2 linked regions of the Pelodiscus sinensis genome follow. The protein of the gene in region 2 binds, or shares a complex with, the protein of the main gene of each other region. Links are inferred from orthologs where the notes say so. Each region holds a gene or a part of one and is shown on either strand. Other genes may lie near its edges. The genes, in order: CASP9 and APAF1.

What was found.
Region 1: the proteins of APAF1 (region 2) and CASP9 are in contact, whole or in part, in a crystal structure (PDB 4RHW), measured with the Homo sapiens proteins. The link is inferred for Pelodiscus sinensis from reciprocal best matches to the Homo sapiens genes APAF1 and CASP9. Residues at the interface, in NP_863651.1 of Homo sapiens: Thr22, Ser23, Tyr24, Met26, Asp27, Ile30, Ser31, Ile37, Glu40, Glu41, Arg44; in NP_001220.2 of Homo sapiens: Asp23, Trp26, Asp27, Leu30, Arg36, Pro37, His38, Glu41, Gln44, Arg45.

Annotation. Positions count from the first base shown.
Region 1 is NC_134733.1:10,351,166-10,366,717, reverse strand, and holds the start of CASP9 (caspase-9), read left to right. Parts: upstream 1-9,108; 5' UTR 9,109-9,225; coding exon 9,226-9,357; intron 9,358-10,624; coding exon 10,625-10,838; intron 10,839-11,673; coding exon 11,674-11,763; intron 11,764-13,778; coding exon 13,779-13,816; intron 13,817-15,552. Other genes in the region: DNAJC16 (dnaJ homolog subfamily C member 16), read right to left, coding at 1-32, 2,006-2,339, 3,415-3,481, 5,354-5,520. UniProt on the Homo sapiens protein: Involved in the activation cascade of caspases responsible for apoptosis execution. Binding of caspase-9 to Apaf-1 leads to activation of the protease which then cleaves and activates effector caspases caspase-3 (CASP3) or caspase-7 (CASP7).
Region 2 is NC_134711.1:83,308,165-83,323,603, reverse strand, and holds the start of APAF1 (apoptotic protease-activating factor 1), read right to left. Parts: upstream 7,612-15,439; 5' UTR 7,102-7,611; intron 7,060-7,101; exon of another isoform or gene 6,994-7,059; intron 1,124-6,993; 5' UTR 1,081-1,123; coding exon 943-1,080; intron 596-942; coding exon 409-595; intron 1-408. Other genes in the region: inhibitor of nuclear factor kappa-B kinase-interacting protein-like, read left to right, coding at 8,183-8,201, 9,469-9,667. UniProt on the Homo sapiens protein: Oligomeric Apaf-1 mediates the cytochrome c-dependent autocatalytic activation of pro-caspase-9 (Apaf-3), leading to the activation of caspase-3 and apoptosis. This activation requires ATP. Isoform 6 is less effective in inducing apoptosis.

The sequences.
Region 1 (15,552 bases), on a different chromosome or scaffold from region 2:
ATAGCCAGCATGGACAACTCCAATTCCCACTCCTGAAAAAGAAAGGCAAGGGATTCAGAACTAACATGCCTGTGGTCACCCAGCACACTGAGAGGATGAATTAGTCAGCGGGTACTACACAGTATTTCCCCTTCTCACATTCCAAGGAGAGTTGTATTACTCTGGTCTCAGGAATGAGTAACGATGGCACCATCTCCTCCCTAATCTTCTGCCTAAAGCTCCTCTATTTGGCATGTTAAAACCCCAAAGAAAATATTACATTCAACATACAGTGCAGCAACTTCTTGTTCCTGCACTCTTATTTTGGAATATATGTTCTCCTCCATATGGACCATACCCATTTTTGTAGATGATCCAGAAAGGGGATAGGAATTTTCACCCTGAGCAAGAAACATGATATACTTCGATTCCAGTTAAGTATTTATAATTCCAGTTGGTAGAAAAAAAAACCTGCCCCCCCCCCAGTAAAAAGTTTGGCTAGGTCGCTCTTGCTATATTGGGCTGCAGTACTCCTCGGGAGAAACCAGCCGCACACTTCCTGCATACCATTGCCTTTAGAAAAAGGGAAGGTGTGAAAAGGGGAAAATAGCCTCAGACTCTCCCACCCGTCACCTTGGTGTGAGAACTGCGGGGCTTACCTGGTCACATGAAACCTGTTCAGTTTCATCCCAACCCCTGGGGCACAGACCCCCCCACTTGGTGACCATTGGGCCATATATGGTAATATGCAAGCGCAGGAAAGCGACGTGCAGATTTGGGGATAAATACCCATCGCACAGTTCGCTCAAGGAGGTCTTCGCAACACATCTACCACAGTGCGTGTGCCTTCCCGTATACTCCAAAGCGCTGCTGGCCTGATTAACCAACCAGCCTCCTTCCCCGACTCTCGGGCACAACCAAGGCCTTCGCAACCGAACTGATATCTTTGAAACGTTCCGTGTGCTGTGTAAGTTGGTATGTATGATTTGATTTTCTTTGTTATATAAGCTTAGTATTGTAGTTGTTTTGGGTAGTACATAGAGTTTGTGGTTATATCTGTTATTTAATTAGTGTAGCTGGATATTTTTAGAATAGAGACTATTCCCCTGGCCATTCCCATCCTTATATCTCTGACATGTTTAACTAGGAATCATAGAATAAATATAATAAATACTGTAAATTCATTATTAACACGGCCTATTAAAAATCTTAGAATAAATATTATAAATTCATCACTGTTATAAATAAATATCTTTGATTTACTAAAACAGTCCACCTGGTTCTGTCCTTCTCCCCCCTTGGGTATGCATCATCAGACCTGTGGTTCTCGCGACACCAGTGTTCCCTGATTTTCACTTTGGATGCCAACATTTTCTCCCATCGTCTTGTATCCTACATGAATGGCTCACAACCCTCTTTGGATTCTAGAGTGCATCTCAGTACCATTCCTGGTATAGCTCAAAGAGCGATGCAATGTTCATACTGCAGGGCTGAACATAGTAGCTCCTGACCATGCAATAATCCTTGATGGTATTTTTAATGACACAGGCACTAGGAATCACACTGCAGCAGAAAAGGAGACAATCACTGAATTTAGAGATGGAAGAGACTCCCCAGATTGCATCCCGATCATCCTCTTCCTGGGCAGGGTTTACTAAAGCCTCGTTTCATCTAATTCCAACTACCTCCAGGGATGGGGCTTTCACCAACTTCCACTGACCCAGCCATACAATTCTGAAGTGTTTTCTCATGTGTTAAGCCTACATTTCCCTTGTCTCAGTTTCACTGATGAAGACTGGTTTTAGGGAAAAAAAGAGACCAGTGCTCCCTCCTCCAACTACACTGGAAAATAAAAGAAATAAATCCATTCACTGATAAACCACAAAGGAATTCGGTGGCTGAATTCACATTCAAACACAACCCCAGAAGCTGAAGTCAATTGCCACAGCCTAGGATGGAAACTGCTGAGAGAGCCTCTCCCTGAAAACACATTGCAGCTTGAGTTTTTTAAATTTGCTTCTCTTACCCAGCATCTCTAGCTCCTGAACAGCCTCCTTCCACACAGGCTCAATGTGGATACAGCTGAAGCACCAATCCGAGGTTATTTTAATGAGGTAGGGCTTTTTGAAACTGTCCGGCACAATCTCGTTCACATAGTGCGAAAAATGCAGCAAGTATTTCTCATCAGAGGAGTCTCGTCTCTCCGAATTAAATGGGAAGTGGAAAAAGGATTCATCAAAGTAAAAGCTTTCATGGAAGTGATGGAAGTGGTGGTGCTGCTGCTGTTGAGGGTACCCCTGATTTTCACCCACGTCTCCATAACGATCGAAGTTGGATCTCTTTTCCTCATTGGAGAGGATCTGTCAATCAGAGTTAAGAAGATTGAAAAGAAACAAGGGCTGGCTGGCTCATACTGAATGAGAACTAGAAGGATGACAATTCCCCTTCTTAAAATAACTGAATGGCAATAAGGAGCAGACATACTGGGAAAAGGAATTCCTGTTGCTGAATGTCTACCCAATTGAGCTCCAAGAAAGGGAACTGTCATATCTTGTCTCTGTAGCAAAATCCATTTATGTGGCATGGCGTGAAACAGAGCTCACATGAAGAGACAGAACATTTAGTTGGAGAATTCCAGCTTCCTAGCTCTGACACTGTATGTCTTCCAAATTCTTTTATTATTTCAGTTTCTCAGCTAACAGGCCATCAAATTGAGTCCTAAAACAATCATAGTCCAGCAGACTACTTTGGCTTTCTCACAATGTCAAACATTTAACAGTCAAATGAACTGGGAGAGCTGATATGCTCAGGTAAACAAGCAGAATTTGCAGCAAAAACTGTCTATTGAACTGGTAGAGGAAAATTCAGATTATTCCTGGGGACTCAGCATCAGAGATGCAACATGCTGCAGTAGCTGATTCAGTGAGGCTTGGACGAGTGACCTGCAAGTGCTACTTATGCAAATAATGTTTTAGAAGTGACTAAAGCTTTCAAACCATTAAACCCACTTACAACATCACTGGAACGTGCACAACAAATACAAAGAGATGGCACCAGCCTGCTCTGCTAAGCTCAATGGACACTCCTTACTTTTTGCTTGATGCTTTTCAAGAATCAAAAGATAGAACTTTACATTTATTCTTTCACAATATTTCCAATTGTGGGATGTTCATGATTTATTGAGATTAATTCACATCTGAGTATTAAATGGATAGCAATTTTTTTAAGACTGCAGCTATCAGCAACTTTTTTTTTTCTTCAAGAAAACCTAGACAAATTCCACCACCCAACCCTTCCATACACAGAGCCGAGAAATTGTTCCATGTAGACATAACAGGAAAATAGTAAAGGCTACTTGTGAAAGATGAACAGCACTTTCCAGACTCTAATATACATCCTAAAAACAGCACAAAGTTACCAAATGGTGTCCAATACCTCATAGGCTTTGCTAATTTGTATAAACTTATCTTCTGCTCCTGGGTCCTTGTTTTTGTCAGGATGCCTACAATGCAAAAATACAGAAAATGGATTTTATCCTTTAGAAAGCAGCAGCAGTTTATCACAGAAAGGCAAAAGTACGCCACTAGGGTTGTCAGCTTCAGTGCAATACTCCTATTAAGCAGGATATGTAGACATTAATGCCATTTACTGGTATCTACTTCTTAATTTGTCTGATGTTTAAAGCAGATTTATGGCAAAAGTCTATTTCTCCCACACAGGTTCTACATAAAGAATTTCAACAGGATTTGAGTGGTGTATGTGGAAGCATTTCCTCGGTTTCCAATTTTGTTTCATAAATAAATGATCCAAGTGGAACTAAAAACTAGATTTGACACCAGGCAGAAAATTCCTTCAGCAATAATCCTACCAATTTCAAAGATACATGCACTAGCTGCTGCCCTATATATATTAGGCACAGCAACTATTTGGTATATTTGCAATTCTATTCTGAATCTTAATAATTTTCTTGTATAATGCCTCGGTTCTGAGAGACCCCTAAAGCTACAGATAAGAGTACAGATAATTTCCAGATACCATACAATAGCTCTCACCTTCAGCGTTAAAACAGGTCTTATTGTGTGGTCATAATTTGAGTTAGTTTAATTCACTTCTTTTCAGAAACCTCAAAAATTTGACTAAAAAAAAAAAAATCACTGACTTGAAGCTGGCCATGATCAATTTTTTTAGATTGACTCAGTTGAGTTACTAGCTGGCTGTGAGGAGCACATGTAACTAATTAGCACATGTGACCAGCCTGTGTCAATGTTCCCTAATTTTTCCATATATATATATATATATATATATATGCGGAATAAATATGTGCACCAAGGTATGTGTGGATGTGCAACACCAATAGAAACACATGTTGGTGGCCGTGGGCATTCTGCTAATCAGCTGGGTGGTATTTGAATTTCTCCAGGGTAGCTGCCCAGGTGCACAGCTTACAGGGAACACTGGTGAGTGTTACTCAGTAACAATTCCTATGACAACCCTAAAGATATAGTACAGAAGTTATTTAAAGCCATTTGCTTCTTAAATTTCTGCCCTCAGTGATTCTTCTAATATGTTATATTTTGTAAAGTACAAAACAGGAGGGGGGGAGTTTCATATTAGACCTTCCAAAGTCTGATGCCCAGAGCATTGGATGAACTGGAAGAAAATGCCATCAGGAAATATTACAGCATATGCAATATGCACTAGTAGGTATAATTCAGGGCCAGATCCTGCAGTTTGCATTGACATGTGTAATCTTTCATCTTGTGAATAGTCTCACTGAAGTTGACAGGTCACTGGTGCAAGGCATGTGGGAACAAGACTCATATACAGAATTTAGGGTCTGACTGACCTTTTACATAGAATACACATACAAACAAGAAAACTAAACATTACAGGTACAATTCCAGAAACCTTATTTGAGTAGTACTTACTCACAAAAGAGGTGCCATTGACTGTAATGATACTACTCATTGAAGTAAGTATTTCTCACTATCAGGCTGCAAAATTGGGCCCTTTATTAAGAAACACTGTACAGTTTTTCTTTAAAAGAAAAAAAGTTTCTTCCTGCTCAGCAGATACATTTACCTGAAAACTATGGGGCAGCTCTTCAGATGGAATAAATCAGTATACTTACATTGTGGATTTACAATGAATTACACCAGCTAAGGCTCTTGCTCACTAGTTATAATATGGTTTTACTGAACATGGTAAGAGCAAGTAGACTGTCAGGGTAAAATGGTTATTGTATAATTTTAAATGTCTTTGTTTTTATTTTGTAGATGATGCTTTTTCTCACAAATATTTGGTGCACTCATCAAAACAGCTGACTCTGCCTTGCAGAAATCATTTAATATGCAATGTATTTTGAAACACCTACCATTCCCGGGCAAGCTTCTTATAAGCCTTTTTAATATCAGCCTGGCTGGATGTCCTGCTGACCCCAAGGATTCTGTATGGATCAAAATCCACTGCAGATAAAATTTGCAGGACCAAGACCAGAACCAGGACCACAATCAACGAGATGCTTAATTTTTTCAGTTCCATTTCTCTTCCTTTAGGCAACCTGGACAGAAGAGTTTTCGCATACATAAAACAGAAGTGCAAAACTAGGGGTTGATGCAAAATCTATGTACCCCTTTATTTAATCCTACACCAGTGGCAAAACTGCAAGACCAAAAGCCCCATTTCCTTCAAACAACTAGGACCAGAATTCATCTCTTGGATTACTAAAAAGGTAGGATTTAGTAGGGTCTGTTCTTGCCCTTGCATGTGATGATCATCATATCATTCCAATTATAATTTTGCTTCCCTGTGTAGTTCAACATTTTAGTAGCTTCTATCTTGAGAACTCTACAGCAAGACACTTGTGCTTTATACCTAATAGGAGCTCACTACCAGTTTTCAGGTATTAAAAAGCAATAAACAATAGGGCTGTCTAGACTGGCAAGTTTTTCCGCAAAAGCAGCCGCTTTTACGGAAAAACTTGCCAGCTGTCTACACTGGCCACTTGAATTTGCGCAAGAACACTGACGATCTGATGTAAGATTATCAGTGTTCTTCCACAAATACTATGCTGCTCCCATTCGGGGAAAAAGCCCTCTGCGCAAATGTATTTGCGCAAGAGGGCCAGTATAGACAGCTCAGTACTGTTTTGCGCAAAAAAGCCCCAATAGCAAAAATGGCGATCGGGGCTTTCTTGCGCAAAACCGCATCTAGACTGGCACGGACGCTTTTCCGCAAAAAGTGCTTTTGCGTAAAAGCATCCATGCCAATCTAGACGCTCTTTTCCGCAAATGCTTTTAATGGAAAAACTTTTCCGTTAAAAGCATTTGCGGAAAATCATGCCAGTCTAGACGTAGCCTAGCTGTTTCTGCCATCCCATTATCTAAAGTCTTTTATCAGGACTAGCAGAGACACTTAAGAGACCAGTACACTTTTCAAAATGCAGTAATCATTACTATGTAGTAATCAGAAACCGAAGTCTTTTGATGGCTGACAGTTACATGGGACCATGTTAGTTGAAGAGACAATGCCACCTTGAATTTCTTCTTGAACCTTTTTTTCCCCCCACCTGATTCCCTATTATAACTGGACTTTTAATAACTCCATTCATCTGATGAAAGCTCATAATACCATCTACATGTTTTGTTAGTTGTTAAGGTGCTGCTAGACTATTCCTTGAACTCCAGTCAGTTCAAAAAGCATGTTAGAATATTTTTAGTTATTACTCCTGCCCCCCCATGTTGTTCTTTTTTATCCATATTTTCCTATTATAAATAAAAAACCCTTCTCTCCTAGTTTCAGAATGTGATCCTATGGCTAAGCGCACAATGGTAGCAGTGAAACTGACTACAGAAAAGCTGCCATACACATTATTAATTTTTTTTATTCTTTCATTTTGTTTAATCTATTACCATTATCTTGAACACTACTTGCAACAGCAAGGGAAACCATTTACAGCTGTGGTGAGATTGTTAAACTAACAGCGTACATAAGTTTATTCACAGATGTTATTTATAACACATTACGAACAGGGGAAAGATTTTTTTAAATCCAGCTTTTCACTGTTTATGCTTTTTGCTTATAGGCTGCATAGTTCACATCTTGAGCAATGACGGTAAGTACAGTCCATTTTACCAACAGGTTCTCAGAGCTACCATCACTGGTCTAGCGGGGGGGGGGGGGGGTTGTTTAAAGAGACACACGAGCACGGAACACTGAAAAAAAAATCCTCTCACCCCCCCCCCCCCCCCAGTATTTCCCAGCTCTTATAGACTCTCATGGGTGTGAAATGTACATTTGGGGGCACGTGTCATGTGACACCCCCCAGCGCTTGACATCCCAGCCTGACAACGCGGGGTACCCCAGGCCGGGGGTTGCGGTGGGAGGAAGAGCCGGGAACCCCGCTCGTTTCTGCGCCCCGTGCTTCCCGGCGCTGCTTCCCAGCAGGACCCCCAGCCCCCCACAGCTGCCCCCCCCCGTCACCGCCCATCGGGTAGCCCTGGCCACACCCCAATGCCGCCCCCCAGCAGGGCGCCCCGACCATGCCAGGCCCCAGGCGCCGCTCGGAGCCCGGGGCGGGCGGGCGAGACGGCCCGCGGGGAGGGTCCGCCCTAGATCACATGTCGAAGCCCCTTAAAGGGGCAACGCTCACCCCAGGCTGGGACCCCAATGAGATGGGGGGGGGCGATACCCACCCTGTGCTCCGGGCGCCCGGTCCCCGCTTCCGGCTTCGCCGCCCCGCCTCTCAGCCGTCACCATAGAGACGCCGCTCGGCTCACTTCCGCTCTCCGCTCCGCCCGGTCATAGAGACGCGATACGGGCTATAGAGAAGCGCGGCCCTCCAAGAGCTAGCGAGTCCCATCGCGCGGAGCATGGCGGGATACAAGCGGAGACGCAGGTGGGAGGGGCACGGCCTGGCGTGGGGAGGCATTGGCATCCCACCACTCAGGCCTGGGGTGTGTCGTGGTGTCAGGCTGTCACTGTGGCGCTGTGTCATGCTGTGATGTCATGTCATAGCAGGGGCGCTGGAACAATTGTGTGTGAGGAGGGTGTGCGTGTGGCTGTGCCTATGCAGACAGCTGCTGAACCCAAACTGCATAATGGAAGCCAAGGGTGTGGGAGCACCCCTCGCTGCTGCACTTGTGTCATGGTGTCAGCCCACGTCAGTGGTGCTGGGTCACCATGGGATGTCACCTCATGGTATCAGCCCATGTCAGTGGTGCTGGGTCACCATGGGATGTCACCTCATGGTATCAGCCCATGTCCCCATGATGCCACATCACCATGTGACCGTGTTGTGTCAACCCATGTCACCATAGTCACAATGCGATGTGTCCTGGTATTAGCTCAGGTCAATGTAGTGCTGCATCACAATGTGATGTTGTGTCATCATGGTGTCAGCCTGCATCTCCATGGTGTGGTATCACCCTGTGGCTTCTTGACCTCACGATATTGTTTCTTATCTAGCCCTACTTTCTCCCCCCACTTTTTTCTTGGAGTGGTAACTGAATTAAAGGGCTTGACCAGCTAGATGTAGGTGCCAGTCCTCTCCTATCCTCATTAATTATTCTAAATAGCCTGAATATATTCGCTTACACACACATGTATGGGTCAATTAGTGCAATGGCAAGAAAGAACACACACTAGGGTCCCGCTGTGCCAGTGGAAAGCCAGTAGAACCAACAGGCTTCAGCACAGTTACTTAAAATCCACACCAATGCGAGAGTCCGTGCATGGAGGGGAACAAAGTAATGGTCCCTCTAGGCCGGTATGGATCCATGCCAGCTAGTCAAACAGAGGATAGTGACACACAGAACTGCTGTTAGCTGTGCAACGCTCCCTCATGGGGAAGAACTGTCTATTAAAGAGGGGGAGTAAATACAACTGAAATCCATCTAGCGGAAGGGCAATAGGGGCTCTAAAGCCCGACAGAGCCGGTAGATTCTTTTCGGCCCCTATGGACAGTAGGGAGGGTGTTGTGAGGGAAGCTGCTGTAAAAAGGGAAGGACAGGCACAGACTGTAGCACAGCCCCTACACGCGGTAGGGCTCAGGGGCGGTCCCTATGGGCTAAGGAACCAAACGGGAGGCCCCTATAGGAGGAGAGGCCTAGGGGAAAGGCGGATCCTATAGACCGCTCCGAAGGGGGCCGGGCTGAGGACGGTTCCCGGAAACAGGCGGAGCATCTCGGCCGTCTCCAGTTTCCCCTCCCGCGGGACCCACCGGAGGGGGTCCCCGGGGTGGCGGGGATGGAGGAGGCTCAGCGGCTGCTGCTGCAGAGGAGCCGCCTGCGCCTGGTGCAAGAGCTGCAGGTGGCTCCGCTCTGGGACCTGCTGCTGCACAAAGGAGTCTTCACCCAGGACATGATCGAGGAGATCCAGGTGGCCTCCCCTACCCTGGGTCCGCTGCTTCCTCCGCACCCGGGGCTGCATCTGGGGAGCTTCTGTCCTGCCCCGCTCCATCCTCCCACCCCCGCCGTTCTGCCCTGGCTGTCGCCACCCCCACCCTGCTCCTGACTTCCTCCTATCCCTGCTCAGCCCCCTCCCCCTTGCTCTGCTCTAGGGTAATTCATATTTACCCCCCCCCCCCCAATAACTAGAGACTGCAGTGTAGAAAAGGGGGCGGTGTCTCTTCTCCCTCCCTTCACATCAACACCCATCCAGCCCCCACTATCGCTGGTGGGGTTGGCACTACCCCCTTCGGCTTCCTGGTGAACTCTCCTGAAATTAACCAAGCAGCCACTAGATGCCATTGTCGGGCTGCGAGCTGCTGGGCCTGTAAACATCTGAACTTTCACAGCCACTGGAAAATCAAAATTTCTGGGTAGCTCCCTGGATTTCTAATATCTCTGCTCTGGGTTATTGCTGGAGCCAAGTTGCAGAGCTGCTGTGAATTTGAGCTTTATGACTTTAGCTGGAAGAGCAACTGTCGGAATGAAAGTGGCATAATTCCCTCCTCCCCACCCCAATCATGGATGAAAACAAGCCAAGAGAAGCTCTTTAAGGCTGGGGTTAGTTTGTATGATACAAAACCAAGCAACTAAAAAGTTATGTATGATACAGTAGAACTTGTCTCATCTTGTGGGAGCCAGTGATGTCTAGTGATTGGAGTGGAGAATGGATCAGATGCCCTGGGTTTTATACCCTCACTCTACCACTAACTTTCTGTCTGACATAGGGAAATGTCTCTGTACCTCAGTTTCCCCACCTATCTCAGATGATAGTACGTGGGTGTCTAATAGGCAGAGTCTTGAGTTTCTCACCAGAGGCTGATGTGGAAGATGGAAGGGCCATCAATGAGTTATGGGGCTTGATGGGGCACGAGAGTTTCAACCACATCTGTGTATAGGTTTTTCCAACAGCAGTTGAATAGAAGTGATATAATTTTTAATACTGTCACTGCCACCTAGAGTTTCTGAAAAACAGCAGTGAAATGGCAGAATCTTCTTCACTCTGCTGACATTTGGACATCAGTAGGCCCTGGAGTTGCCTGGGTACAGACTAAAAAAGCTATACTTGATTAGTTTATGTTCTGTTCTTTTCCTTGCCCTCTCATATTCATCACTGTGCTATTTAGAAATGCTGGACCATTGGCATGACTTGTGCACTGGATGCTAATGCTTTCTGTCTTGGTTTTGCTCCCTTATAGAGAGCAGGCACTCGAAGAGACCAAGCGAGGCAGTTGGTTACAGACCTTCAGACGCGAGGGAGACAAGCTTTTCCTGCATTTGTCTCAAGCCTGCAAGAAACTGGACAGGATGACCTTGCTGCTTTGCTGAGTGAAGGATACAAATTCCCACAGTTGTGTCCAGTTGATATAAAACCAATTAAAATTGGCTTACGTGGTGGAAAGGGTGATACATGTGAGTAGTGGTGTTATTTTCAGAATAAACAAGCAAAATTGGATTCTGCAGTTGTAAGCTCTGTTGCCAGGCAGGTACAGACAGGAGGCTGCCTAACAGCTTGTAAAATCTGATCGTCCACATGTCTTCCAGAATCACTGATTGTATAATCTCAGAGGGGTAGCTGTGTTAGTCTGTATCTTTAAAGATAATGAGTACAGACAGTCCCCGGGTTACGTACAAGATAGGGACTGTAGGTTTGTTCTTAAGTTGAATTTGTATGTAAGTCGGAACTGGTACATATTGTAGGAGAAACTCTAGCCAAACATTTCTCCAGAGCTCAGTTTTATTCTCCCACATCTCACTTCCCTCAGTCCTTTATTCTCAAGCTGAGGTGTCTGCTGAGAAAAGCCGCTCCGCGTCTCCCTGGTCTGCTGGGGAGGGAGCGCTAGCTTCGCATCTCCCTGGTCTGCTGGGGGGAAGCAGCTAGTGCGGGGTTGCCTCACCCCGTTTGTAAGTAGGGATCCGATGTAAGTCGGATCCATGTAACCCGGGGACTGCCTGTAGTCCTGGCACACCTTAGAGACTAACACATCATATATTAGTTCATGAGCTTTCCTGGGTAAACCCACTTAATCAGATAAGTTGAAGTGGAAAATACAGAATCCAAGGTATGTATAACAACAAAAGCAGTTTCCAGTCAATTGTAGGACTTGTGATAATGAAGCTAAGGCTATGTCTACACTGGGAAATTATTTCAAAATAACTTATTTTGAAATAGTTATTTTGGGAGTTATTATTTCAAGTCTATAGGAAGAATGGTCACTCAAGGCCCAGATGCCTTCTACCTTTACAGATGTGAAGGATCCTGAATATTTGCCTGCCCCAGTCCGAACTGTGACTGAAAGATGCCAAGAGCCGGGGCGTCCCAGTGTAGCGTCTCAAGGTAAGCTGTCTCTGCTAGTCAGTTATTGACTTACACCCTGTCTGTCCTTCATTCCTTCTCCTCTCTCCCCAGACTTCATGAAGGTCCCTTCAGCCCATCTTCTTCAGGGATGCTCAGGGTGGCCAGCATACTGTGCCAATCCTCCTCCTGGTTGTAGTACCCTCCGGAGCAGTGGTGGGTTGGAGTGCCACCTGTAGCCCATTGGGGTTCCACCTGTGGCCTGTGCACCCCCTCTCTGTCCCCTTCCCCCATGTGCCTCTTGTGCACTGGGGCAGTGGAGCCCTGCACTTACCTACTGCTCCCCCTCCCTCCCAACACTTTTGCAGTGCTGTGAATCAGCTGATTCGTGGGGGTTCAAGCTCTGGGAGGGAAGGGCAGGAGCAGGGACGGAGCACAACTCAGCAGATTCATGATGCCCCAGAAGTGCTGGGAGGGAGAGGAAGGAGTAGGAAGTGAAGAGCTCCATGCGTGAGAGGCATGGGGGAAGGGTCAGAGAGCAGATGCTGCAGGTGAACCCCAATGGGCTACAGGCTGCCCATCACTGGATTTCAATCTTGCGATCCACTGAGTCGAAGGAGAGCCACTCATGCGACCCACTCACTGCCTTGGTTGTCAGTCACTGCTCTGGAGTGTATCTGTGCTGCTCCATAATTCCTCTGGAGGCACTTTCTCTGCCCTGCACCTTCCTCTGCCCTGCACCTTCCTCTGTCTGCAGCCTTTTGCCAGAGGCTGGGCTGATCTCACTGCCTACACATTGTTCCCATTCCCTGCCCATCTAGGTGTCGCTTCTGAGCCATTCTGATTTTCTCCTTGTGTGCAGGGACTAGCAGCCACCTGCAGCTGTTTCCTTCTGTTGAACGGGTATCTCCATGTATTCTTACTTCAATCACAGCCATAGTGTTGGTCCATGTTTCTGGCTAGTGGCTAGGAGCCTCTGAGCCATTAACTGAACTCAGAAAATACCAAGATTAAAACCAGATTAAAAACAAGACTCTGTCGTGACTGATCCATCCACCAAAGTTCTGAATAATGGGAGAGGTGCAGCCATAAGGGATATAGTACGATGTACAGTATTTGTTAATTTGAGATCTAATTTAATCAATCTGAACAACCAGATGCCACCAGAACAAGTTGGAGTTGTACCATGGATTGTTACAGAGACTTTTCTAGGCCAGGCTAGTTTGCCTGTGTGTGAGGTGGTAAGGCTCTTGATGATTTCCCATCCAATTCTCTTCTGACAAGCAGAGCTCAAATTTATGACTCTGTGGGCAATACTCTTTGAGTATGTCTACACTACAGTGTTATTTCGAAATATCTAATTTCAAAATAGTTATTTTGAAATATCTTATTTCGAAATAACGCGTCTACACACAAAATGCATTTCGAAATACCTTTTTGGTATTTCGAAATAGCGCATCCACACTGATTGGACGCTGAATCGCATTTAAGGCCAGCCGGAATTGGTTCCAGTGGGGCATCAGGTCAGAAGTTACCTTGTGGCCAGGACAGTCAGCAGGGCACCCTGGGAAGGGCTGGAGGCCCCCTATTTCGAAATAAGTGTCTACACAGCGCTTGTTTTGAAATAGCAATTTCGAAATTGGTGCAATTCCTCGTGGAATGAGGATTACTAATTTTGAAATAAGCCCTCCTCTATTTCGAATTAATTTCAAAATAGCAGTTGGCTTGTGTAGGCGCTAGGAAAGTGATTTTGAAATAAGGATTGTTATTTCGAAATAACTTTGCTGCATAGACATACTCTTTGACTGGCAGTATCCAAAGCCATGATAAATGAACCTCCAGAATGTCTCTCTCAATGTCTCCAGTAAATGAACAATCAGATAATGAAATATTACTTTCCTGTGTGTGGCTAGGAATAAGGAGGCATTCAGGTGTGACTGAATGTATCCAGAAATAAAGTGCATTAATATTAATCCTTTTAAGCAGGGACCTAACCCTCTAATGAATGTGCGGTAGATAGTGGAGCTGTATGTCATTTCTCTCTTATCATGTTATAGGTTGTGCTGAAGACAGATCCAGGAAGAACTCAGATATGGTTAGTATCTTGTTTTTCTATACAGTATTTTTACTTATTTCTTACCTGAACCACCTCCTTTTTCTCCCCCACCATCACCCACTTTGAATCCCATTTTTAAAAGGACTTAGGCTCTTAAGACTCTGATCTACAAAGGTATTTAGGAGTCTAAAGGGAAGACAGGTGCCTAGTGTAATTTTCAAAAGTATCTATGCAGATGAGTTGCCTACGTTCCATTGAAAGTCTATGGGAGTTAGATACCTTTCTCACTAAGGTACTGTTATAAATCTTGCTAGGCACTTGACATCATTTCAGGTGCCTAAATACCTTTGTAAGATTCTGTCTATACTAAAAAGGATATGTCAGTGTAATGGGCTAAAAGACTTTTCATCTGGTACAGCTTATATCTGTTTCCCCAATTAAATAAGCTATAACAGCAAAAGGCCTTTTTCATGGGTATAACTGCATCTGCTCTAGGGACTTTGCTAGCCCTAGAACATTCAATTATGGGTGTGATTGTCCTTCCTCTCCCTAACCCAGGGATGGACAATCATTTTTACTGGGGTGACCACACCAAAATGTTGGTAAGTGGTCAGGGGCCACACTTTTCTATGGAGGAGGTGCAGGGTCTGGGACGGAGGCAGGGTGCAGAAGGGAGCTATTGGGGTGAAGGAGAGAGTGTAGGGTCTGAGAGGGAGTTTGGGTGAAGGAGGGGGTTGTGACCTGGGGCAAGGGATTAGGGTGCAGGAGAAGATTCTGACCTGGGGGAGGAATTCAGAGGGTTTAGGTTATGGCCAGGGCATTGGGGTGCAGCAGGGGGTACAATGTTGGAGAGGGGGTATGGATGCAAGTGAGGACTCTGGTCCTAGGGTGGGATATTGGAGGGGGTGCAGGGTCTGGGAGGGAGTTGTGACCTGGAACAGGGGGGAGCAGAATGCAGAGGGTTTGGGTGGCAACCTGAGGCAGGGAGTTGGGCTGTGGGAGGGAGTGAGGTGCCAGATGCTGGTTCTGGCCAGGAGGCGCTTACCTAGGTGGCTCCCTTCCAGCAGCCCAGCGGGACCTGCAGGGACCACACCTGAGGATTCCAATGGGTCCCATGGGAGCCAAAGGATTGGTGGGCCGGATCCAGTCTGCAGGCTGTATTTTGCTCGCCTCTGCCCTAACCAACAGTGCTATGCTGACACAACTTTTGAGTGTCAAGTAGGCCTAAATCTGTTCCTCAGTGCCAAAGTTAAAGGGATTTAGGTGCTTTTGAAATTTTTTGTCTGCAGTCTGGTAATTTATATTGTGCGTATTTACAGTTTATTTGACTCAAACAGTATTGTGTTGTTTAAAAGATAAATAATTACTAGCAAATGTGACTTTGATGTCCAGGTGTCAGATCTAGCATCTGAATGAGTCCTGCTGCTTTGACGGGGCTAGCTCAGTTCAGATTAGATCAATTGTCACACCACCCTTACTCCTCTAATGGCAACATAAATATGACCAGCCACATAGCCAAATATTTTTCCCTTAGCAATTACTATCAAGACAACTAATAATTAACTCGTGCAACACTTAGAGTGTGCTGTATTTGTATAGTGGGTATTTTAGGTTTGTAATTATAGTGTGAAATATACTAAGATAAACCCCTCACTAATGGAAATGTACTGCGCACACGAATGCAGCATGATTGTTACAACTGAATATAGTACCATGAATGCAGACCTATGTGTTTAGTAAAGTGGAGGCCAAGTTCATCCTTGTTGTAAGTCAAT
Region 2 (15,439 bases):
AGTTTTGTGGGCAGGAAGTAAGTTTCCAAGAAGATTTTCAGAATTTTACTTCTATACTCTACTCAAATTCAGCTTCTTTAAAATATGCTTACAACAAAGCTCTTCCTCTTGACTACTTCTTCACAGTCAAGTCTTCAGATTTAAATGGAAATATGGGACATGTTAGCCTTCATTTAAATACTAATCAACAGAAAATTTCTTAAAATAAAATTACTGAACATGAAACCACCAATTTCATACAAGACCACTCTCTTCCCCACCCTGTATGTCAGATGAAATATGGAAACATTGGCTAGTGCCATACCAAATTAAACTGTCTCAAGAAGCCGTACACTTATTCATTTTGAAGGAATTAAACCAGGATTTAAGTCTATCTTCAAGACTAAAGAATGAAAGAGTTATACTGACCATATGAAGTACCTCCATCCATAGACTTGTTTCCTTTACAAGAGAGGATAGGTATTCCATCCTGAAGAAGAGCAGCCAGGTCTTTGTACCCTTCATGAAGCAGTGCATTATAGAAGGATATATATGAATAATTATCTTTTGCAAGAATAATTTTTATTAGCATAGCAGCTCGCTCCCTCTGCGTAGTCTAACAGAAGCAAAGAAATAAAAATTTATTATATAAAATCTCAAAAATTGAGAGACTTATTAGATCTAGTTCCAACACCTAGCTAGTTAAATACTGTGCTTCTTATTGCCAGGAACACTTGTTGCTAATACAGGTCAGATAATGAACTTGCATTAAGACTTGAATTTAGCAAGATATTCAAACACACAGTTAACTTTGAGCATGTAAGTAGCCCTACATGAAGTTAGACATGTGTTTGGGTATATTGCTGAATCATGGCCTAAGATGTCAGAAGTTTATTCAAACAAGTATTCTAAAACATGTTGATCAGTCTGAGAACAGGAAATTGATTAAGATATGTATTTTACCTGTGCTTTTACTTTCTCCTCCTCCTGTAATGTTAGTACTTCATCAGCAATCATATGATCCATAATGTAAGAGGTCTTGATGTCTCTTTCCAATGCTTCATGATTCAGAAGCAAATGATTTCGAGACTTCACATCCATTTTTCTTCAGTGCAGTAAAAATAAATTTGCACAGGAACATGAGCTAGTCAAGACAGTAAGAAACAAATTGATTTCAAAATATATTTCCTTTTATGTAATGTCATTTAAAAAGCAAATGGCAACAGTAACCCCAACATTAACTCCAGCAGCTGAAATATAGCTGATCTTCAGTTAAGTTCATGTTATGAATTACATCACTAGAAACTGCACAAGCAACCAACATGTCAGCCTATTACTGGTATTTCTTGAGAACATTATATTAAGATATTTGTATTACCCCTCTCCTAGATATCTGTATTACCATCCATGCTCAGATGCTTATATCCAGCTCGGCTGATAAACATAATACAGGCAGTCCCCGGGTTACGTACAAGATAGGGACTATAGGTTTGTTCTTAAGTTGAATTTGTGCGTAAGTCGGAACTGGCTCCAGATTCAGCTGCTGCTGCTGAAACTGACCAGGGACTGACAACAGGAAGCCGGAGGCAGAGTTGCTCTGCCCCCAGCTTCCTGGAATCAGCCACTGATCAGTTTCAACAGCGGCTGAATCTGGAGCCTGGGACAGAACAGCTGGGGCGCTGCCAGGTAGGTCCCCCCAGGACCAACCCGGCAGCACCCCAGCTGCTCTACCCCAGGCGTCCACAACAAAAGCCTGGTCTGCTGGGGGGGGGTGGCGCACTAGCTGCGTCGTCCCCCCCAGCAGACCAGGGAGACCCGGAGCAAAGCCGCGGGGGCGGCGGGGTCCCGCGCCTCTGCGGCTTTGCTCCGGGTGTCCCTGGTCCGCTGGGGGGGGGGGGGGGTGTCCCCAGCAGACCAGGGACACCCGGAGCAAAGCCTTGGAGGTGGTGGGGTCCCGCACCTCTGCGGCTTTGCTCCGGAGCAAAGCCTTGGAGGCACAGGACTCCGCCGCCTCTGCGGCTTTACTCCGGGTGTCCCTGGTCTGCTCGGGGTGTCCCTGGTCTGCTGGGAGGGGTCCCTAGCAGGCCAGGGACACCCCAAGCAAAGCCGCAGAGGCGCGGGACCCCCAGGGACACCCCGAGCAGCTTTTCTCGCCCTGGAGGACGCGGTGGCGGGACCACTGCGCGTCTGGGTGGTCCCGCCGCCCGCGAGTTCCGGGGCGAGAAAAGCCCCGTTCGTAAGTGCAGATCCAACATAAGTCGGATTCGCGTAACTCAGAGACTGCCTGTAAATTAAGGAAACAAAATGAAATCCTCTATCATCATCTCCTTTAGCAGTGATTCTCAACCAGAAATATATATCAACTCATCTAGATGCTTGGCTAGTTTTACAACATGCTATGTAAAAAGCACTAGCAAAATCAAACTAAACTAAATTAAATGACTTGTTTATATTGTGCTATATACTATACACTGAAATGTAAATACAATATTTATATTCCAATTATTTTATAATTATATAGTAAAAATTAGAGAGTAAGGAGTTTTTTTAGCAATAGTGTGCTGTGACACTTTTGTACTTTTATATTTTATTTTGAAAGCAAATAATTTTTGAGTGAGTTGCAACTTGGGGAGATGCAAGATAAATTGACTCATGAAAGGGATACACTATTCCGGAAAGACTGAAATACACTGTTTTATAGTATAACACATGTAAGTAGCTTTTCTTTTTTTTTTTGGCAAATGAAAGACAGGTATTAGTGTTTGGATTTTAGAAGTATACTGTACAATAAATGTGAAACATTACCAGTATATTCAAAATCTTACCCAAAAACCCTAATAATGTGTTCACGTTATCAAAAAGAACACACTCCTACTACACGCCAAATTATGTATAATTGGGACACTTAAGTGGCTCCGCCATTAAAGTTGTATTTAAATTTGTACTTAAAGCATGATTGAAATTGAGACATTTCATATTTTAATTGTGAAATTAGACAATGTTCAATACACAAATTCTTTGCAGATCAACTGACGTTCCCATTTTTTAGCAATCAAATATATATTAACTTTTCAAGAGGAAAAACAAACAAGTTAGTGATGTTTTTGACACATATACCAATTAATATAATGTCTCAAGGACAAGGCACTTTTCAAATATTGCAGTGAACCATACAAAGAGTTATTTATCATAACTGAGTAAGTCTCCCCAAAGACAAGAGTTCAAAACTGTCAAGTTTCACCAACTAGTTGTTTTCCAATGTTGCCTAACTTGCCCAGGCAAGTCCCTGGAAAAGCTACTCACATACACTGCTTGCTGAGAGCACAGCTAGATTATACCAAAGCATCAGTATGTAAAGGCAGAATTTCCCACAAAGCTCCACCACCATACATGTTTACATCTCACTTGCTCTCCGCACACTTTATACCCTTCCTTGGGTCATCAGAAGGGGAAAAGTAAGGACTGGGGCCTCACCCTTTCCCAAATACTCATGGCAAGCCAGCCCTACAGAAGTGTCCCAGTGAGAGGAACTAGATTTTGCAGCTATGCCTCTACAGAATTCAGGAGTTGGGGTTTTCTTATTGTTATTTGCAATACAAGGTTTGGATTAGTAGAGTCGTTATGAGTTTGCTAGCAAAGCAGATTTGTGAGGGAGCTGAACACAAAGCTAGGCAGCAGCAAAGCTCTCGCTAAGGCACAGATGTAACATGGATCAGCTTTATGTTTAAAAAAACTACATTAGAAGAATATTAAGATTGCAAACACAAGCATCAAAATGCTAGAAAATGCTAGCATCATTACCCATGTAACTTCAGTTTAGCCTGTTTGTGCAATGTACGCAGGCTCCCTACACATACCAGAAGCCTGCCGGTAACCATAAAGGTTAACCAATTAATCTAGGCTCATCAGTTAACTGTGTACACGGTTACACTTTCAAATCCCTATTACATATCCTTTGTCCCTACAACCTGTCCCTATCCCTCCCTTCTGCTCCTATACTTCTCACCTGCTTTTCTCCATTGCGACCCACACAACTCCTACTTAACTTCTAACTGACCCCCATTCTATTTCCTTATAAATCCTGTCTCCTGCTCCTAATACAGAATCACAGAACTGGACGGAATCTTGAGAGATTATCAAGTCCAGTTCCCTGCACACATGGCAGGACCAAGCACCATCTAGACCAGTGTTAGGCAACCTGGAGCCCACTGGAGCTTCACCTGCAGTCTACAGACCCTGTCTATTCCACTCTCCCACAGCGGCACTGGAACCCTGCACTTCCTACTTCTTCCCTTCCCTCCCAGTTCTTCAAAGCTGGTTGTGGCTGTTCCAGATCTGGGAGGGAGGGGGAAGAGCGAGGACAAAATGTGAATCAGATTTGCATGCTCCACAGAGTACTGCAGCCCAGTGAAGTGAAGGGAGGGCCATTAATGCAGCCCACTCCCTATTCTTGGTTGCCCAACGCTGATCTAGACCATCATTAACAGGGGTTTGTCTAACCTGATCTTAAAAATCTCCAGCGATGGAGATTCCACAATCTCCGTAGGTAATTTATTCCAATGCTTAACAACACTGACAGTTAAGAAGTTTTTTCTCATGTTCAATCTAACCCTCCCTTACCACAATTTAAGCCTACTGTTTCTTATCCGGTCATCAGAGGTTAAGGAGAATAATTTTTTCCCCTCCTCCTTTCAACAACATTTAAGGTACTTGAAAGCTGTTATGTCCCCTCTCAGTTTTCTCTTATCCAAACTAAAAAAAACCAATTATTTCAATCATCTATCATAGATAATGTTTTTTAGACATTTAATCATTTTTGCTGCTCTTCTCTGAGCTATCTCCAATTTGACACAGCTTTCCTGAAATGTGACACAATACTCCAGGTGAGGTCTAACCAGCCCGGAATACAGTGAAAGAATTATGACTCATGTCTTGTTTGCTATCTTCCCTATTCTCTTACAATGCCTGGCTCCTTCGATGCCCTCTCCAACCTTTAGACTCCTATCTGAGCCCCCAGCTCCTGCTCCAACTCCTCTACCCACTACTGCATCTAAGTCAGACTGCTTCCTTCTCCAGTGCAATGCTGGCTGTGTGCTAGCAAGAAGGCATCTTCTATCGCTTACTCTATCTTCCGCTCTCAGTTCCAGTGCCTAGCATCACAGCAGCAGCAGGAAAAAATTCTAACAAAGTCTTGTTCAGCTCTTGCAAACCCAGGATAGAGTATGCTCAACAGGGGCTCTGAGTCAGGCTGTCCCTACCAACATCGAAAATATGCAGCACCCCTAGCTACTCCTCCCACACTCACTGTCCCTTTCCCCAGGGCATATCCCTATGATCTCACCTCTACTTTTATGGAGATTTGACTCTTCTAATCCACCACATTGACCTCCTCCCAAACTCCAACACCATACTGCACCATAGGGTACCTTAAGGTCCTCCACCACTACTGGGCACCCTGCACTCCCTAAATGGCATTCCTGGCCAAGACACCCTACAACTTCCCCATAGTGCATTCTCTTTGCCCATGCCTCTGCAGGGCAGGCACAACACGATCAAGGGGTGTGCGCAAAACCTGCCTCCCAACAGGAGCATAAGCCACTGGTTGCATGAAGATTGGGATCACCCTGAAGCCTCCCTTCCCTTCAGGACAAACTCACTGGTGAGGCTGCACCCTACCCTGATGCAGCACAAGCACTGGACATGCTCCAGAAACACACTAGAGCCCCAGCCCTCTGAACCAGGTGCACTGTAACAGCAAGTGAAAGGGACAGCCTTGAAATTTCACCTAGCCCAGCCACCCACCTGGCAGTGATTTATGTCTCTCCTGGCTGCTTCTGCTATGCCTGCTTGACATTGCTGCTGGAGAGGGACATGTGACCTCTCTCTCAGTTTCCTTTTGCTTCCCAGTCAGAATTAGTGATGTGTTCAGGGCTCGACAAATCATTGAATCTACTCGCCTATGGTAAGTAGATTTTAGCCAGTTGTCCCGTTCACCGACAGCGCGCGCATGCGGGTCTTGCGCATGTGCAGTGCGGGACTGGTGAGCAGATTTCGCAGCCATTTGTCAAGCCCTGGTGATGTTAAAGGTTAAACAGTTAACTGGTTACTTGGTAAGCATTAGCTTCACTGCCATGCTTATCAGGTAACCAGTTTCTGCAAGGGAAATTAATTCTGCACATGCACAGTGGCACAAAATTCCCCCAAGAAATATGAAGCTTCTTCAGACTTCCTCTGAAACATTTGGCTCTGGTCACTTTCAATCAGAGACAGCAGTACAAAAGTAAATGAATCAGTGGTCTGCTCTGATCCAGACTGCTCTGGCAAGTTCTGTTTTCTTTTAGGATCCTCTGTACTAATACAATGTACCACTCTTTGGTTTTCAATACAAAGGAGTGTTTAAAATAAATCATTACAGTCCATAAATCAAAATGTTGGGCCTAATCTACTTATTTTAAGGAGTAATATAAAAACACAATTATGTCCCAAGTCTCCCCAATGAGACAGATCTCCCTATTACATCAGCCTTTAAGTAAGGAATCAGGCATGTACTAAACAGAACACAAAACTGTCCGATAAAGACAAAACAGTTCTTATTCATTCTCATGTATAATAAAGACACTGAAGGCAGCCAAAAACCCTATCAGTATATTCTTGCAAGTGACAACCACAAAGGTTAATTATATAATCTATTTATGAAGTACAGCGCCAGCTAAAATAAAACTAGGACTGAAAAAAACATCCAGCCAAGGAAAACTGTCTCCAAAATAAAAACAGAATTCAAATGCATTATCGAAAGTGGCACTGATGAGTCTTTCTACATTATCTCACATGATGGCAGCAACAGCTGTGTGATCTCCATGTAGCAGCAGCTCAGCAGGCAGAAACCGAACACTTGGGCTTGAAAACTGCCTATTTATTACTAGCACCTCCAGCCTCAAAAATCACAAAGGCGAGCTCCCAGGTATAGCTGAGCCACGCCGCAGCCTCAGCAAGCACGTGCCAGCGAGACCCTACCTCATTGCACTCCCGGGGGGTTGGGCGACGGCAGAAGCTCCGGCCACGCAGAGGGTCCGACGCCCCCTAGAGGCAAGTGGTGGAAATTAGACACGAAACTTTACGCACCGGACAACTTTCCCCGGCCGGGGGCCGCTCCCATGGGCGGGGGTCTCACAGCTCCGGCACCAATGGGAAAAAGAAGCTCGTGGGCTTCACACCCCCGCCGCACAAACCCTCTGCGCTAGAGCGGCAGCGAGTGAGGGAGGGGGGCTGGAAGGGAGACAGACACCTCCCCCCCCCCGCAGAGCCCGCGGCATTTCAGCGAGGCCCCCGCGCCTCCCCCCGCGCCGTTCTCCAGGGCCGTTGGGGCGCGCGGTTACCGGGCCGCGGCAGAAACCGGCAGCCAGCGCGGAGCAGGGTCTCGGGGAGGCCGGTCGCTAGCACGAGCCAGGTTCGGACCCTTCGCGGGTCTGAGTCAGGCTCGGCGCCGCTAGCGCGGGGAGAGGCGCCCCGCAACCAGCTGCCACTTCCTCCTTCCGCGAGGCTGGGCGGCGGCGCGGCTGGCAGGACAGACGCCTCCCGGCGAGCGGCCGCGCCGCTCACACCGCCCCCCAGCGCCCAGGACCGCGGAACAAAGCCACGGCCTCCTCCCGCCCCTCCCACCCTCAGCCGCTGGGCTCGCGCTGGCGCACAGCCGCCCACGCTGGGTGCCGGGGCGCGAGCGGCGGGGCAGGCGCCTGACGTGGCGCGCGCGAGCCCGCGAGGAGCGGCAGCAGGGCAGGAGTTTGAAGCGGAGGGTGGCGCGCCTGGCTCCAGCTGCAGGTACCGGGAACGGGCGCGCGACGGGGTGAGGCGATCGGGAGAGCGATGGCGGGGGGGGGGGCAGGGCTGCCGATGGGAGATCCTGAGGAGGTGACGGGCGGGGTGGCCGTTATTTGCGGGGCGCTGCTCAGCCCCCTGCGTGTGGCTGGGGGCGCCCCTCAGGCCGACGGGTTGCGTCCGCCTTAAAACGTTTTAAGTCGCCTTTAACATTCCTTCCGAAATTCGTTTTCCTTGGAGTTTTCCAGTGCTCCGCCCAAAGCAACTTTTAACGGCTTTAAAGAAAGTCGGGTCTGAGCGGTGGGGATCTTTTTTTTTGTTCATGCCTGATGCACTTCTTGGCGTTCGTGTTAATAACTCTCGTATCTTCTCAACCTTCATCTCATAGATGTTCATTTGGTCATACGGTAAAGCGTTGTGCGCCGCTAAATAGAGCGAGGACTATATTACGGTAGAATGCCTGTTGAACAATGAGATTTTGTTTATAATTTATTATTGTTTTGTCTCTTGTATTTACAGGGCAAGGATTCTTAAAGCTGTTAAAACTCCCTAAATAGTGCTTAATACAAAACAGGAAAAATAGCTGTTTTAAGTCATTTACATATATTTGCATTTGAAGGTTGAAAAATATAGTAACTAATGAACCTGGCTTTATGAACGGACATATTTTAAAAGTTATAATACAAACATTCACTCCCCCTCCCAAGGTGATTCACTATCCCAGGTTCTTTTCCCCTTTTCCGCTGTGAAAGACTCAACTGTAAAGCAACAGATTAGTTGCTCAAACATGAGAAATCGTGAAAGATAGTGTTGTCTTGGAAAAATGTTTTGTTTATTTTTCATATCTCTTTTAGGCATAGTAATCTTAAGAACATCTTGTAAACTCCAATTGCTTCTGCATCCTGAGTAGTTGAAAGTTTTCCTGGACAATTGCCATCGGCTTATGTGGAATCAGCTTTCTTTTTCTTTTTTTAAATTAAATCTATGGGCTTAGTGCTATGAAGAATTGGACCATTTCTTTGAAAGTTTGGAAGATGATGGTCATGTAATGGAAAACTGAATAGTTATGACAAATTCTTGAAAATGATTAATATAACTGAATAAATATCAAGCAATTAATGTTGAGTGCAGTTGCTTAAGTGCATTTTTGGGAATTCTCTGTGTTAACTTGGAAGGGTATGTCTGCACTTGCAACCTCTTCTGAGAGAGGAATGCAAATGAAGACATTCAAAATTGCAAATGAAGCCAGGATTTAAATATCCCATGCTTCATTTGCATATTCGCGTTATGGTGCTATTTTGAAATAGTGCTATTTCAAAATAACAGACGGTGTTAAGATGCGGTTATTTCAAGAGAAAACCCTTCTTCGAAATAACCCTTATTCCTCATACAATGACGTTTACCGATTATTTCGAGAGAAGGGTTTTCTCTTGAAATAACCGCATCTTAACAGTGGCTGTTATTTCAAAATAGTGCTATTTCGAAATACTGCCATAATGTGAATATGCAAATGAAGCGCGGGATATTTAAATCCCGGCTTCATTTGCAATTTCGAATGTCTTCATTTGCATCCCTCTCTCAAAAGAGGGTGCAAGTGTAGGCATACCCGAAGGAACTAAACAACTCATTTTGCTTTCTTTTGCTAGCTCTCTGCTTGCTTTCTGTTTCCTAAAGATATTCTTAAAATGTCTGATGTGAAGCAAAGAAAGAAACCTGTTCCTTCATCAAAGCATAACGAAGAACCACAGAAGCAGAGCAATTATGGAATGCTCTCTAATCCCAGAAGTGGAAGAAATAGCCCGAGTTCCTTTTGGATAGATTCGCGAACAGTCTTAAACCTACTTTCACTTTTTGCTTGTCTACTGCTGACCTGGTAAGTAATCCTTTAAAGGTAATTCTGGATATAGACTAGGGGTGTAAGCTCCTCTTTAACTTGCTAACTAGTTAAGCATATTGGTTAACCACTTACGGACACTTTCGGCACATGATAGCATAAATTATATGGTCATACAGGACATACCACACTAATACCAACCCTGGTACCTTCTTTTGCAACAAACCCGTTGCCAGCTTTGTCCACATATTCACTCTGCTAATACCATTATTGGACCTAACCAAGTGAGTTATAAGATCAAGAACACACATTCCTGCTCATCCAGAAATATAATGTATGGTATTGTGTACCGAAAGTGTCCGTTTGCTATATACATTGGCGAAGTGTCTGAGACGTTTGTTCAAAGAATCAATGCTCACAAAACAGAAATTATACAGGATCACAAAGAAAAAACAGTTTCTTGCCATTTCAACCAGAAAGAACATTGTCTCAATGACTTGATTACCTGCATCCTGCTTCAAAGACCTTTTCAGACCACACTTGAAAGAGAATCCTCTGAAGTGTCATTCATGCTTAAATTCGACACTTTACACCTAAGTTTAAACAAAGACATTAATTATCTTACACATTACAAAGATAGCTTCCCCAATTATCACCTCTAATATCATTAGCTCACAGACATTTACCTCTCCCCTCCCCCATCCCCGTTCTGTTCTGAAATGTGATTTGTCCTTTTCATATGTGTTCATTTTTTTTAATTGTATCCTTTGGTATATATGGTTGTGCCAATTTTCTTCCACTATTTGATTTGAAGAAGTGGGTAGAACCCATGAAAGCTCATCACCTAATAAACCATCTTGTTAGTCTTTAAAGTGCTACATAGTCCTGTTTTTTGTTTCATCTATTAAGGATGAGGCTTCCCAGTTAACCGGTTAAACCTTCACATCCCTAATATAGACAGTTTCACACTTTTAAATTTTACTTTCTCTGATTTTTTTTCCTTGTCACATACAATGGAATTGTATATGGCATTAGTAGACTAGTGTCCATTTCTGGTGTTTGCCATTTTAAAAAGATGTTGACAAACGGGAAGAGCTCCAAAAAGAGTCATCACAATGATTAGAGGTCTGGAAAACCTATCTTACTGTGGGAGACTACAGAAGTTCAATTTATTTAGATTAACAAAAAGGTTAGAAGGTGACTTGATCATGATGTCTAAGTAACTATATGTGGATAAGATTTCCAGTAGTGGAGAGTTTTTTAATCTAGTAAGCAAAGGTATTATAATGAGATCCAATGGCAGCAGGAAGGCAAAGCTGGAAATTGGACCTAGAAATAAGGCATTGTTTATTTTATTTACAGTGTTGGTAAAATAAAATAACTTACTTAGGGACATGGTGGATTCGTCACCACTTGAATTCTTTACATCAAAACTGGACATTTTTTCTAACAGATATGTTCTAGCTAGAAATTACAAACTGTATAATCTATGGGTGGAAGACTGGTCCCAGTGAAGTCAGTGGCAAAATTTCTACTTAAGTAGGAATAGAATTTCACTCAAATAATCATTGACTAGGTCACAGGATTGTCTGGATTAGAAGAATAAAAACTGTATAATTTTAGTTCATCTTAAATTGGCACATGTGGGATAGGTATAAATTACATTTTCTTAGTTTTTGCTCCAGACCTCAGTTTCAACAGTCCTTTATTACAGATGCTTTGGACTCAGTTCTCTCTTTAATTGCTGTATGTTGTTTTAATAGATCTCTGTTAAAAAAAATTCTTCTACTTAAATTGATCCCAAAAAGAGGATCCCTGGACTATCTGTACTTTTTCTATCTTGATTTGGGATTGAGATGTTAATAGCAAATTAAATTTATTTCACTGACAGTGCCCTCTCCGTTGTCTCCCATTTCATCCTATGGTGGTAGTGGTGGTTGCCTACATGCCATCAACTGCAATTTCATTGTATTAAGACTATAACATTTACACAGTGTCATACTCAAGGTACATTAATGTGTAGCTGTGTTTACCCTTGCCCTTTAACCTGGGATGCATTTTACACTGCTTTGCTGCTATAGCCTCCACTATGGACTGCTCTCAAACAGCCACTAACATGTAAGTTACTAACAGCTATGCCTGTGTGTGAACTGCAGCCAATCTACCACATCTTGACTCTTTATCAGTCTAAGCCCGTGGTCACCAACTGGTTGATCACGATCGACTGATAGGTTGTGAGGCCTCGACCAGTCAATCGCATGGTGTTTGAGCCCCGCCCACTTCCTCCCCACCCCCAAGAAGCCCCACTACCTACTTGCAGTGAAAGTGGAGGTAGTGCCGGCTTCCCGCAAGGTGGATGGAAGTCCTACAACTTCGCACCACTTCTGGGTGTTCCGGAAGAGTACTGGCTGCTCCCCTCCCTAAGTTCTTTGGCGTGCCGGGAACTTGCCTGGGGGAGTCCCCAGAGGAGGCACACAGGGGCTTCCCTGCGCTGCAGGAGGGGGTGTCGGCCCCAGAGTAGGCATGCGCGGGGGCTTTCCTTCTCTGCGGGGCGGGATGGAGGGGAGTCCTTGGAGGAGGCTGGGGAAGGGGACTCCCTGTCCCTCGCTGCAGAACCCTATCCCCTCCCCCCAGCATCCTGTCGCTCTCTCCTGTGCCCCACCTGCACCCTGTCCCCTGCTGCAGAACCCTGCCCCCACCCCAGCACCCTGTCCCCTGCTCCCACTGGCACCCTGTCCCCTACCCCGGCACCCTGTCCCCTGCTGCAGAACCCTGATCCCACCCCAGCACACTGTCCCCTGCCCCAGCACCCACTAGCACCCTTCCCCAGTACCATGTCCCCTGCTCCCACCAGCATAGTTGGGGCCACATTAGTGAGGCCTGGGGTCTTTTTGGGAGGAGGGTTTGGTTTTTTTTGGCATCTCCCTTGTGTGGCCCCAACCGACTTTTCTGTAGGTCAGTGACCCCCTGACTCAAAATAGGTTCCCTGCCCTTCGCATAAATAAAGACAATGCAGAAACTTTTTGTGTTTAACATAGTATTTTATTTAAAAATGAAGCCTGGCCAAAAAAAAAACCCAGTTGGGGCCACGCCCCCATCTGGCCACACTCCTGCACCTCCTAGATCTGAGCCTATCATACACTGAAACCCCCTGCCCTGAGCCCTCACATACCCCAACTCAAATTCCTGCATCCTCACAGCCATGAGCCTGTGACTTGCTTAGTACCTCAACCCTCCATCTTACCCCAATGCTCCCCAGCCTGGAGCTCCCCCCCTGAGCCAGCATCCCCTTCTCCACCTCCTCCTGCATCCAGATTTCCTCCCAGAGCTTGCACCTCTCACCCCTTCCCACATCCAAATCCCTCATTTCCACCCCAGAGCCCACACATCCTGTCTCAACCCAGTGAGGGAACGGCTAGACTGCAGGAGACATCCTGGAAAAACTCTTCCGCATCCAAGGATGCATTTGTTCTGCTTTTTTTTTAGTGGAAGAGCAAACATGCTCTTTCGGTAACCCCTATATTCCTCGTTCCACGAGGAATAAGGGGAATTCAAAAAGAAAGGGTTTTTCTAACATTTGGTCCAGTCTAGACAGGCCAAATGTTGGAAAAACCTCTTCCTACATAAGAATTGGGGAAAAAAGTGGCAGTGTAGAGTGTATAAGAGCTGGGGATAGCAAGTGATGGAGAGGAGAACAGAGAGGCCAGGGCTTCAAGGAAGGGGTGGGGTCTTTGGGAAAGGGTGGGGCAGTAGATCTTTGCTTGTTCTGAGATTTAAAAAGTGATCTTGGGTGTAAAAAGGTTGGAGACCACTGGTCTAAGCTATAGTACAAGGTCACCCCCGTTCATTCCTAATCTTACCCTCCCCCCCCTCCAAGAAATATATTTCCTGCATCATCTGGCCCTCTCCTGGACAATACAAGTATCATAAGTCTGTTATTTCTTTAAGATAAAAATATGATATCTTATTATTTCAAATAATTTGTCAGACACTTCATATTATACACAGCAGGGATGTTAGATAGCAGGTAATAGAACAGTCCAGTGGTTCCCAACCTTTTTTTATATCATGGACCAGCAAACCCATTCAGAAACTTTCAACAGACCGGTAACATTTTATTTGTATGTATGTGTGTGTATTATGCAAATAATGAATATGTAAATATGCAAATAAAATGTTACCTATCCGCCTAGCCCCAACCCAGCCTCTTACTTCCCAGTGCTTGACACCCTTTGACCCCCATCCCTATGCCATTTAACCCTTTAACTTCTGACCTCTATAGCCCATGCCCACACCATGACCCTACCCCACCCCCACACTCCCGAGAGCAAGGCTTCCCCCTCTAGGGAGCATAGCCATTGCTGCCGTGCAGGCAGAGGGAGCGGCCATTGGTGGCATGCACACTTATTCCTCCTTTGCTCCCCCTTCCCAAGCATGTTTCTCATCCCCATGAGTAGAGGTGGAGGGAGTATGGAGCCCCGACTGGGCCACCATCTTACCTGGGTAGGAGGTGGAAGGAAAGCGCTTCCTTCTCTGCCTGCTGCTCCCTCAGCCCCAGCACCGCCACCAAGCAAAATCAGCCACCATGAACAATTGTCTTCAGCTCCAGCAGCTGCTACTGCAGCCAGTGGTTCGTGAACCAACGGTTTGGAACTGCTCGGATAGTCGAGTAACCACATGAATTTTTATTGGTTACTCAACTTTCTACTGTCTCCGGGGACGGCAGCCAGTGCATTCCTGGCCCCACTCCCAAGGAGTCCCCTGCTATCTATCCCTTGCTGCTGCCTCTATTACAGGAGGCGGTCAGCAAGGGGAGCCAGTTAAAAAACCAGCTCTGTGCATACACCAGTTGCTTGCCACAACCTGTGCTGATGCCTCTGATAAGCATAAGCTTATCTGGTAGTCAATGGGAGAATCAACTACTCGTTCCTCCCTCCCTTTGCTCCCTCTCAGAGACGGTAAGGGGGAGAAACAGGAGCCAGTGCTGGAGGGAGCCAGCTTAAAAGAGGTAGCCAGGAGGGGATGCAACCTCTCTGCCTGCAGCTGCTGCAAACAAGAGCTACTGAACTCACTGCAAGCCAGGACAGAGCAGTCTGGGACATTGCGCCTCTGCATTTTAAATGTACAGTAAACTTCCGATAATCTGGCACCTTTAGGACCCAGGGGGTGCCGGATTATCAGATATGCCAGACTATCAGAAGGGGGGGACTATGAGGGGTCTGGAGTGGGGTGGGAGGGGATGCCACCCCAGACCCCTCATAGCCCCCCCTTACGATAGTCAGGCTCTGCCCCAGGAGTCCCTGATTCAGCCGCTGCTGGTCAGTTTCAGCAGCAGCTGAATCGGGGATGCCTGCAATAGAGCAGCTGGGGTGCTGCCGGGTTGGTCCTGCAGTGCCAAGGGGCGGCGCTACGGCACCAACCCAGTAGCACTCCGGTTGCTCTTGGGGACGCCTGGGACAGAGCAGCTGGGGTACTGCCCGGTTGGTCCCGTAGCGCTTCCCCTCGGGGCTGCGGGACCAACCCGGCAGCACTCCAGCTGCTCTGCCCCAGGAGTCCCCAAGAGCAGCTGGGGTGCTGCCGGGTTGGCCCTGCAGCCCCGAGGGGCAGCGCTACCAGACCAACCTAGCAGCACCCCAGCTGCTCTGCTCCCGGCTTCCCCGATTCAGCTGCCGGTCAGTTCCAGCAGCAGCTGAATGGGGGAAGCCTGTCCGGCTGCCCCAGCACTTCCGGGTTCCTGATGGTGCCGGACCATCAGGAGTCCCGGAGCATTGGATGCTGGACTAATGGAGTTTTACTGTAGTAAGAGCCCAG